2 linked regions of the Caenorhabditis elegans genome follow. The protein of the gene in region 1 interacts with the protein of each later gene in a pairwise test. Each region holds a gene or a part of one and is shown on either strand. Other genes may lie near its edges.

What was found.
Region 2: the proteins of unc-87 (region 1) and lrx-1 interact in a two-hybrid assay, tested with the Caenorhabditis elegans proteins (one large-scale study listed by BioGRID).

What each region holds. Positions count from the first base shown.
Region 1 is NC_003279.8:6,760,720-6,767,316, forward strand, and holds unc-87 (Protein unc-87), read right to left. Parts: upstream 4,972-6,597; 5' UTR 4,892-4,971; coding exon 4,288-4,891; intron 4,081-4,287; coding exon 3,872-4,080; intron 3,625-3,871; coding exon 3,466-3,624; intron 3,216-3,465; coding exon 2,733-3,215; intron 2,679-2,732; coding exon 2,544-2,678; intron 1,156-2,543; coding exon 1,048-1,155; 3' UTR 634-1,047; coding exon of another isoform or gene 535-633; 3' UTR 502-534; downstream 1-501. Other genes in the region: F08B6.1 (BPH_3 domain-containing protein), read left to right, coding at 1-72, 535-633. UniProt on the Caenorhabditis elegans protein: Thin filament-associated protein that is implicated in actin bundling and actin filament dynamics. Exhibits F-actin cross-linking activity. Required for the maintenance of sarcomeric actin organization in striated muscles.
Region 2 is NC_003283.11:12,250,823-12,255,987, reverse strand, and holds lrx-1 (LRP X(cross)-hybridizing), read right to left. Parts: upstream 3,304-5,165; 5' UTR 3,211-3,303; coding exon 3,124-3,210; intron 2,627-3,123; coding exon 2,522-2,626; intron 2,440-2,521; coding exon 2,155-2,439; intron 1,973-2,154; coding exon 1,843-1,972; intron 1,643-1,842; coding exon 1,517-1,642; intron 1,470-1,516; coding exon 1,335-1,469; intron 1,289-1,334; coding exon 1,172-1,288; intron 716-1,171; coding exon 594-715; 3' UTR 538-593; downstream 1-537. Other genes in the region: T04H1.12 (Activin_recp domain-containing protein), read right to left, coding at 159-345; T04H1.5 (G patch domain-containing protein 11), read right to left, coding at 3,639-3,777, 3,861-4,416, 4,467-4,641; rad-50 (Zinc-hook domain-containing protein), read right to left, coding at 4,929-5,093, 5,137-5,165.

The DNA of each region.
Region 1 (6,597 bases):
GGAGAGAATACGCAACGAGAATTCATTAAATCAACTACTCTTCGGTTAACAAAAACATCGAGATTCACACAGGTATTTTTGAAAAAACGTTCATTTCGAAATAAAAAACTCGAGGAAATTCTCATTTTTATCTGAAACCGATGCAACCAGAAAAACCAAAAAAAAACAACATTTTGTTTTTGAGAGATTGAATTTATTCTAAAAAATTCCGTATTTCAAGTATTTTCTCAAATATTGTGTAATATTAGCTTGGAAATTATGAACAAAAAGTTATAATTGATGATCATGTCGCAATTATAATTTTTAGGCAGAAAATAATTTTCGTAACAAAATTTTCGCTGAAAATAATTTTTTTCGAAAATTAAAATAAGGCCACTTTTGCTTAAATGGGTGTGACTACTTCCGCGGTAATGAAAAATAAATTATATGAAAAGAACAAAACTCCACACATTTTTAAAAACCTTTTTTTGTAAAAAATAACCTTTGGCTTAAAAATCGAGAAATCAAATAATGTATTCATTAAAATATTTGCAGGTATTCTTCACAACAGACATCGAATGCGAAGAAGGTCTATTCTGGAAGGCTCTCAATGACAATATGATGGAAAAACTGAACGCCCTGAACACGAACTAATTTTTTAATTTTTTGTTAAATTTTTAGTATATTGCCTGAAAGTTCCGTACGGGTTTTCATAGAATAAACATATATTTTTAAGTAAATCTATGGCTTGTCGCATCTCTGTGAATTTCATTTAGAAAACTAAATGCAAGTGGTTTAAAATAACAAGAATAATTCTTCGCTAAAATTGCTCATTTTTGGCTGCAACTTACGCAAAAAAGAAAACAATCGAAAAATTTCAAATTTATATGATGAACTTGTTTGGGTGTGAAAAGAATAGGAAGGAAAGCAGGGAAATGGGATGGAGAACAAACAAAAAAGTAGTTTTTTTTGAAGAATAAGAAGAAACATTTGGAGAAGAAGTTGAAGCAAATTATGCACAGGTATCATGTAATTTACGAAAGAAAAAAAAACACGGAGAAAAATGATTTAGAGACGATCCAAAGAGATTTCAGCCTCTTCTGGGTATTCAAGCTCCCAGATTCTCTTCAAGTGCTTGCCCTTAACGTCACGTGGTGCTCCGAATGATGTCATCTTCTGAAAAATTATGAAAAATTAGAATTTGTTTCAATAATTTGTTTTTTTTTAAAGGAAATCGTAGTTTTAAACTTAAAAGTTTGGTCATTTTTCTTCTTTTTAGAATGTATTTATATGTTTTTTTAAAATCAACTTGCACATAATTTGATAATACGGTACCTGCTCTCGCCACGATCGAAATATTTTGAAAATCGAGGCCGCGCAAAAATGTTTGCAAAAAGGTATGCGCCTTTGAATAATACAGTAACGGTTTTTCTACCATTTTAGGTTTCTATTAGGGGTGTCAATAAGTTCCGGGTCAAAATTCATAACTTTTTTCGTGGCGAATCGATTTTTCTGAAAATGTGGGAATTTATGTGATCAAACATGGTCTTTCATTTGACGGTACTTTCAAAAAGTTTTGACCACTCCATGTATCCCAGCTCGGAGACACTTTTTTCAGGCGTATGCCTGATCTCGCTTCTTTGTAACTTTCAATTGAGACTTATGTGCGGATTTTGATTAATTAAGTATACAATGTAAAAATACAATAAAAATTTAAGAAAAAATTGGTTCAAAAAAAAATTTTTTTTGGTTTGTCAAAAAATCCTCGAAAAAATTTTTGTCGAAAGTTCTTGATTTTTTGTACAGGAATGATGCAACCAAGTCTGAACAATTTAACACACAAAACTTTTGAATTTAACATTTAGATTTAGAGAAATTCTCAAAAATTTCAAAAAATGGACTAAAAAATCATAAAAATCACGTTTCAAAAGTTTTGTGTGTTAAAAATTGTTCAGACTTGGTTGCATCATTCCTGTACAAAAAATCAAGAACTTTCGACAAAAATTTTTTCGAGGATTTTTTGACGAACCAAAAAAAAATTTTTTTTGAACCAATTGTTTCTTAAATTTTTATTGTATTTTTACATTGTATACTTAATTAATCAAAATCCGCACATAAGTCTCAATTGAAAGTTACAAAGAAGCGAGATCAGGCATACGCCTGAAAAAAGTGTCTCCGAGCTGGGATACATGGAGTGGTCAAAACTTTTTGAAAGTACCGTCAAATGAAAGACCATGTTTGATCACATAAATTCCCACATTTTCAGAAAAATCGATTCGCCACGAAAAAAGTTATGAATTTTGACCCGGAACTTATTGACACCCCTACTATTAAAAATATTCCTAGCGGAAAAGTTACACAAGTTCTACTCTCAAAGGCACAGGCTTAATTTTAAAATATCCGATCGTGTCAAGACCTCGGACTTAGGGAATTATAGAATTAAACACGTTGGTGATAGAAATTCGCGAGAATCTACAAATAGTTTCTGAATACAGGACAAATTCAGGATACACTAGAATGTCATAATCAAGGGTTCCGTTATATGTTATTAACAATCGACAAACCTTCTGTGAGTCTCCCTTGTTCCATCCAGCTTGACTTGGAATGATGGTCTCAGACACCTTCATTGCCTCATATGGAAGCTCTCCTCCTTCAGCCTCGAATGTTGTGTTTCTGCATGTTCCGAAGCCAATCATACCCTGAAAATGAATTTTATTTATTTAAATTCTATAAATAATCTAAAGAAAACTTACAGCTTGAGAAGCAAAACGGTTGGTACCAGATTGAAGACGGACCATTCCCTGGGATTTACGGTTTTGCCATGAGATTGATGGGTCGAGAACTTCCCAACGTGGCTGTCCGAATCCAGTCATACCCTTCTGTGAAGCATATTGATTAGATCCCATCTGAGATGGAATTGTGGTTTGATCAATGGAACATTCATGAGAGTAATCTGGATGGTTAGAATCAACCATCTTTGTGGTCTCACGACGAGCAGTTCCGAAACCGGTCATTCCCTTTTGTGAAGCGAATTTGTTTGTTCCAGACTGAAGTGGAATTTCAGATTGATCTGGTTTCTCGTGATCGTATTCTGGATGCTTTGAGTCAACCATCTTAGTTGTCTCACGACGTCCAGTTCCGAATCCGGTCATTCCCTTTTGAGAATCATATTTGTTGGTACCGGCTTGAAGACGGACAATTCCCTCGGACATACGGATCTTTTCTTCTGGAAGCTCCTGTAAAAAAATATATATATGTTAATTATTGTTTATTTGCGTTCACAAAAGAATATCCCTGATCTTTAAATCAAGTATTTGTTCATCCGTTACTCTAAGTTCACAGAAAAAAATACCGTAATCTATAAGACGTTCCACACACATTGGAACAGAAATGTGGGAAATTAGAGAAATAATTTATTTTGTTTCTGTCACTTTTTTTTACTGAAGTGATGAAAGGTTACAGAGCTACTATGTAAAAGTAACTTACAGCCAAGTCAGCTGGGTTCTGAGCGACACGGACTCCCTCACGGCACACATCACGTCCGGATCCGAATCCGGTCATTCCTCTCTGGGAGCAATATTTGTTGGTTCCGGATTGAAGACGAACTTCTCCATGGGTTCGGTTGGCAATATCTTCTGGGATTTCCTGGAAAATTTATATTTGAAAATTTTGGAATTCCTTTAAATACTTGACGTTGAATGAAACAAATTGTGGAGGTACCAAGAAATGACATTTAAAGATTTTTTTCATTTCAGAAGAGATAAAGTGAGTAAGAACCTTTGAAGTTTTGTATCCTTAAAGACAAATAACATAAACGGTGACCTAGATTTTGCTTCTATTAAAATAAATTCTTCCACATACCCAAGTAAATCTGACCATAAAATTTCCATACCTGAAGGTTCTCAGACTTGACACGAGTGTTAGTGTTTCTTGGTGTTCCGAAGTTGGTCATCAACTTTTGTGAGTCTCCCTTGTTCCATCCGGCCTGGCTTGGAATAATTCCGTCAGTTTGACGGAGTTGAGCCAATGTCCAGCGTCCGACACGCTTTGGCTGACCTTGTCCGGTGACTTTGGTCTCCATGGTGGCATTTGGTTGCTCCTCTGAAAATAAACGAAAATTTGAATATAGGAGCGGTTAAGTTTGAAGTGATTTCTCTGATTTTTGATAACTGTTGCTTTTTTTTGATTTCCGAAAAAACTGGTTATCAGTAATAAGTGTCTGGACATGGGACAAAGACTAAGACAGCACACAGTTATCTCAAATAAAATTTGAGATATTAGTTAAGACGCAAAGAAAAACAAAAAAACCTCGAATTTGTTGAATTGGTTGCTCCTGATTGTCATAATAATAAACAGGGTGTGGTGACACAATTGTTGGAATTTTAGTTTCTTGAGCACGAGCTTGTGTAATTGGAGTTTGAGTTTTTATTGGGATTTGAACAGGCTCTGAATCCCCAGCAGCAGAAGCTTTTCCCGTCATTTCTGGATAGTCTCCATATCCACGTGGCGATCGTGGTGCAGCCACGAATTGCCGATAATTGGTTGGAGCTTGAGATGTTGGTTGAGGCTGAAGCCCGCGTTGCTCGGAAACAAAATTCGGAACAATTGAAGACTTTGGAGATGTAACTTGTACGTGTGGTACTGGTTTATACTCCTCAAGAGCTGAATTTGTTGTTGGATTCTTTCCGGTAAATTGAATCGGAATATTTCGTTCGCGCGACGCCGTATTGGGTCGCAATCGTTCGAGAGCTTCCGACTGTCTTGGACTTAGTCCACTTGGATAGAAATGCTCAGGAAATAGTTTTGCAGATTGTTGTTGTGGTGGTCCAATTGATGATGATGATGACATTAAATATCTTGATGAAGCAGATTGAAAACTAGATGCAGATGTTGTGTTGTTGAATGATAACATTCTTTAAACCAATTGTTTAAAATATTTCACAAAAATGAAACCAAAAAATGAGCACAGTGGACAAGAAAGTTCACAGAGGACAGTACGGAATGCACAGAAAAGAGAGAGAAAATAGAAAAATGATGAGCGGAGGAGGGTCTCGGCACGAAAACTGGTTCTAGTTAATAAAGTACCAGGAGCGAGAGATGAGTAAAGAAAAACGTGATTACTCTTCCAACGAACACATATGTTTGAACTTTTACTTGGAGGAACAAGGCGAACTTTTTGTTCGAACAAAAACTAGGCAGAACAGCACTCAAAATGTTTGTAAATTTTGTGGGAAATATTATGAGACGTAGAGAAAAAGTGGATTTTGGAGATCCTTTTTGATTGTTTAGGTGTCTAGGAGGTTGCTCATAGTACTAGAACAATAGAGATGGAAGGCCTTGCAGGGCAAATTTTTATTTTCCAATTTCATTAGTGGTTGCCTAGCAAGGCAAATTCCTAAATGCTTACAATATTCAAACTATATCAGTGCCTTTCTAACAGATAACAGTCTTAGAGCGGTAATTATATACTAGCTGGGATTTGTATAACTAGTTAGATGAGGAATGAGGCTTAGGATTAGGCTCAGACTTTCCGGCATACATTAGAGATAGTTAAATTTTTATTGATAGCTCTGATTCTCAACCATTTTTGACTTGAAATCTTAAAGTCTAAAAATAGCAGGCCGGTAAAAAACTAAACTCATATTAAAATATTAACTTTGAACAAAAACATTATCAACCTTTAGGGTTTTCTATATACTAAGTTTACTATAAATCATCTAAGCAAGTAAAGCAAAATCTTTGATCAGTCTAGAACACTTTCTATTTCATTTTATATGAGTCTTCCAATTGAACCAATCAACCGTACTCTTGAATCTCTTTTCACCTAATGAGCGCAAACCATTATCTACACACAAAAACTTGTGAGCCTTAACCCAAAAAAGTGAGATCTGAAGTGGTTGATTGCGCGAGAAGCTTCTTCTTTCTCTCGTCCCTCTCTACTCTATTTCTCTTTATCGGAGAATAAGTTTTAAATAAGTTAGAAAAAAAGAAAAAAAGTTGAAGAAACTAACTGTTAGAAAAGAACAATATTGTATTATTTGAGAAGTCTCTGCTTCTCTCTTTTACTTCCAATTGTTCTTCCTGCTATTTGTTCTCTATAATCTCTCGAGAACATATACTATTTCTTTAGGAGGAGATAGTTTCTCTTAAAAAAGTGATGGAAGATCATTAGAAAAGGAGTCTCTGTGTTGGCTGTTCGGTTTAAGTTTTCGGTTACTACAGAGGTCGCAGCACCATACCCGAAAAGATTAGTGGGAGCATCGAACAAGGGAATTAGAGAGAAGAATTACTATAGATTATATTTATTTTCAAATTTCGTATCGAAATAAAAATTCTTTAAAAGGTAAATTTTAGAATGCATAATGCTTCGAGGCTTTTGTAGATTGGTAAATGCTCACTGGATTGAACCAGTTTAAAAATTATCATTTCATTGTAGAGATCTACAGTCTAAAAATTGTTAATATATATCTACAGAAAAAAAACGTTTCACCATTATACATAAACTTGCAAGTTATTCAAATTTTTAATAAAAATCAATTTACTATATATAAAGCGCGTGTCGTTACGTCACTATGTAGTTTGATCTCTGATCAGAGTAACGGCAAAACATCTGAAAAC
Region 2 (5,165 bases), on another chromosome or scaffold:
TTCAAACTTCTGCCAACTTCTGATTCAATTTTTTGGACCAGAACTTAATGACAGTTAATGGTAGTTAATCAATGTTGGAACAAAAAATATTGAGTCGGAGACGGTCAATACGAAATGATCAATATTAAAAGTTCCAACTTCAAAAAATATGTGCATACCAGAATTCTGACTAATTTGCATTGTCTTCACACAAAGTGCATTATTCAAACGACAATGTGAGCTCATTGGTTTGACGAGAACTCTGTCCATGTATGATGTTGAGTTGATGCACTCCAGTGATATACATATTAACGGAAGTAATGTCAAAAGTGTGAAAATAGTAACAGAATATACGGAAATACTCATGAGTCTAACACTGGTTGACTTTCGGTGTCAAAGTTGAAAAGGGGTAAGAGTAACAAAAAGAAGAGAAAAAGAGAAACAGTAAACCTTGAAAAATAACCAGTCCCCACCCTTTTCGACCTCTTTTCCGTCAAATTTTCAAAGCGAAACTAATCGTTTTGTCAAATAATTTGAAAGAATATTTCAAGAAGCAATGACATTCATGTATTTATTTATAAATTAAGGGAAATCGACAAGAAGTTCAGCAGTATCTAGTAACAATATTTTTCATCAGATCCATCAGCACAATCTGTTTCTCCATTACACCATTGTAGACGTGTCACTGATTGTTTTTGATTCTCGCAGAGCAAATATTTTTGGCGTCCTTCTTGTTCTGAAATAACAAGTGTAGTATTCGTCAGTGTTTATTTGGACACTTGGCTAAAAATACTTTTTTTCCTATGTTTTTGTCTCGAACAAGAAAAAGTTCGCACATTGAAGTTGTGCCAAAATGTGTGGTTATAGTTAAGAAAGACATTCCAAATTGTATGTATTTCTATTAATGTTGCACTCCCAATGTTAGACTTTGACAATTAAATATCTCAGTTGTCTTTTCTCCTATTTAAAAATTGTCATTTGACAATTTTTTGAAAACTTTTTTCTATCGTTTGCAGTCAATTATTTATTGAAAAATATGTTCAATATCTTTAAATTGAACCGAGGTATAACCTTTTAAAGTGAAATAGTAGGATGCGATATTATTAGAGGAAGTACTGTACATTATTTCGCCACTTATAACTTTCCAGAGGTGTTTTCCGGGTGAGAAGAAGGGAGGCAGAAAAAAACTTACTACAATTCATTTCATCTTCTCCATTTAAACAATCTTTCTTTCCATCACAATGCATATCTAAATCCACACATGAAACACCTCCACGCGATGTTCCACAGACGAACTTTCCAATACAAGCTTTAATTACTTTGTTATAAAGTACATTTTAAAAAGTAAAAATTACTTGTATTTTTACTGCATCCAATTTCATCAAGATTCGATCCATCTTCACAATCATCAGCCACACCGTCACATCTTTTGTTTGCAGGAATACAATGTTCACTCTTCACACATGCAAACTCATCACGTGCACACGATGCTAAAGGTTTTCAATTTAATTGGCAATTGTTGTAATGAGTAACTTACGACAATTGTTCTCATCTTCCCCATCGGCACAGTCTGGGTGACCATCACAACGTTTGCTCACATGGATACAGGATTGAGGCATTGCACAACAAGCAAACTCATTTTCAGTACAGGTGTCTTTGATTGCTGCAATATCAAACACTATTTTATATTGGAGCTTTTTGTAAATAAATATATTTTATAGATTTCGAGAAAAAATCGATGAAATAATTAAGTTTCCATAAAATCAAAATCAGAAAATTGCAGATTTACAAACTTTCAAGCGCACCTCATGGTGCATCAACGCCATATGAAATTTTATACATACTCTTAATTGAATGACTTACTACAGTGCATGACATGATCGTATTCTGGACAGAATTTAATAGCATTCTTGTGATTACAATTTTCAGTAGACTTATCAAATGCTTGATCTTCGGACATACACGCCAGAGGAAAAGTCTGGCCAATTGAACACTGAAAATATGAAAGAAGTTCGGAATTTCAGAAATCTATTGACTGTAGAAATATAAATATTGATAGCATACAAATAAAAATAGCTTATTTCGTGCATACAATAAAGATAAGTTTCAATACTTTAAATTATACATTTGTTCAACTATTTCTGTATTTCAGAAAAATAATTTCCAAAAAATTACCTGGAAGAAAACATGAGAGCATGAAGTGTTGTATACAAAATAATCAATCCTTTCTAATCCATATTGTGCTAGTACATCATCTGGGAATTCTCGTTTATCACAATAGTTAATTGCATAGCTGTTGTCTGGTTTTTCTGGAGCTTGAGTTTGAGGCATTGGTGGTGGGATTGTACCAGGTTCAACGATTCCAGATCCACCAAGTGGAAATACAGGGTTCACAACTTTAAATTGAGGTTCTTCAGTTTCATAAATGTCTACACTATCCACATCTGGTTCGACTACATCCTAAATATTGTTTCTTGATATTCTGGTAATGTAAACAAATATAGACCTATCCTCGGCCCTGGCCCAAGCCTTTATAACTTACAATATTTGGATATGGCTGCTGAACAGTATGAATGCTTGATTGAGGATTTGGAACGTAGCCTCCAGAACCAGACGAAGCACTAGGTTGTACATATGGATAAGGCTGCTGGAAAATATTTATACAATTCACTAAAGAAAAACGATTGTTTTGATTTTTTTCAAAATTAAGTTTTTAAATCGTCTGTGAATCCAATTGGAATCTTTATGTTGCCTAAAACCATAATGATTTTTTGTGCGATTTTTTGTCAAAATTAGGTCTCGATACGACAGAAATATTTTAAATACGGTGATTTTAAATAGTACTGTAGTGCGACTCATTTCACAATTTTTTCGATTTTACATAAATATTTTCCTTGTAGCTCATACCGATTTATATGTAAATACGAAACAAATAGTTAGAAATAAAGCATTAAAATCGGAACGAACGAGGAAAAATTGAAAAAAAAACTTGAACTTGAACTACAGTACTCCTTATAGGTGCAAATCCCTTGGCGAGCCCTTCATTTGAACAATATCTTGGTCGTGGTGAGACCCTAAGCATTAGAAACTTTGAGAAAGAGAAATAAGAACAAATGCTACAAATTTTTGAACAGTTCACTGTACCTGCTGAGTTGCTGTGCCATATAGATCCTGTGGAAGAACCGGTTGAACGGCTAGAAGAATGAAAAATATGGACGTTAACCATGCCATGATTTGCAAAATGATTGGCAATCAAATTTACCGGAACAGATCGAGAGAATGGATGAGCAGATGATAAAGATGGTGGAACTTGATGTTGCTGCCCACTGAAGACTGTAGCTGAAGAAGCACAAGTGTCGTGTGTGCACTGGACTTTCTTCTTTTTCAATTGTTTGTGTTCTTTTCTATCGCTAAAGAAGCTTTTCGCGCTGTTGGGGGCTACTGGTGGTGCGCGGCAACTGATCGCCACTTCAAGCTGACTGACTAGTGGTCACTTGTCACTTGATACGTTCCCACCTTGAGAAACAACACAGGAGCAGACAATAATGAAGCAAAAAAGCAAAAAAAAAAAGTGACACGATGTTAGGACACGAACTTGGTTATAAAAAAGGATTCATAGTATATACATCAAGAATTGAGATTTTATGAAAATAATTAATCTATTCATCTTCTCCATGATGTGCTCGACGAGTGCTCCCAGGACAATGTTCGATCATATCTTCTGGCGAGGAAAAGTTGGCTCCGCACCAAATACAATAGAAGTGACCATCTCGAAGATAATTGTTGATAGTGGAAAGTCTGAAATAAACGCATATTTAATACTATTGTCGGTTTGGATAAATAACGCTCATTGAAACCTTATCTACAAAACAAAAACTTACGCTTCTTCTAAAATTTCCGTTGACATTGTGAAATCATAATTCGGATCTTCTGGAGCTGCTAAACCATTTGAGTACTTATATTCTTCATCTTCTTTTTCAACTTTTTTATGGTAAGATGTAGTTTCCTCTTGAGCAACTTTATAACTTCTCCAAAACCACGAAACACTGGGAACTTTTTTTCCAATTCGATGATCCAACTCTTCGCACACCTTTCGACAAGATCTGATGTCTTTGACTAATTGCTTTGAGTTGGCATCAAGCTTCCGCCGTTTGGAATAGTCATCGATCAGCTCTTCATGCTTTGCCGCTTGTTCTTTCATTTTTTGCATTACAGCCTCAACTCGTTCATTGCGTTCTTGAACTGCTTCAACCTCGTGCCCAAGTCCCTTCCTATTAGCCTTGATATCGACACCAATTGGTTCCGTAATTCGAATTTCGTCTTCTCTTTGCTTTCCCAATGTCATACCAGGTTTGAATCCCATTTTTGCCATCAATGCAAATCCTTTCGATTCGTGGCTAATCGGTTTTGCGAGCGCCTCGTCGCGACGTTCTTTTTCTGAAATTTATTTGGTAAACTACAAAAATAATATACTACGATTTACAAACCTCGCTCAGCATGACTAGTTGGCCTTTTTGGTTTAAACGTGTCTCTGGACTCTTCAAATCTTGAATTTATTTGTAGTTCTCGCTTGTGAGCTCTAGATTTTGCAATTCCAACTGGTTGTTCACTAACTCCTTGGAGAATTTCAGCAGACATGTAGTCATCCTCATCGTCAGACATTCTGATCTTGAATCGAAATTTTTTATGAATAAGGTTAGCTTTTAACAAGAAGAAAGAAACAAAAGCGTAGCAAAAAACGCATTAGAATATTGAAACAGTTAGAAAATATTTTTCATTTCACATCGGCCGATGCATCGGGTTCATCTCGTAAAATATAAAACATGAGGTAACAACATTTGGAAACTCGGGAATGATCTGACAAAGCATAAAACATAATTAAAAGGTGAGCGAATCAATTTTGAGACCGTAAAATATTATTTGTACTATTGAGATTCTTCAATACCATTCTAGAACCGTCTCTTCGTATTAACTCTTTTCACTGTTCCATCTGGATAACGTTTCGAAAGGAAACTTATTCCGTGCTCGTCCTTCCCCAAACAATAAATATACTCTGGACGACAACTGATTGTGATCCTGTTGACGAGTCGCTCATCGTGAGTGATTACTACCATCTATAAGTTTGATTATTAGTTTTGATAGCTCATTATCCCATACCTGCATATCTCTTCCTCTCAACTTTCCAT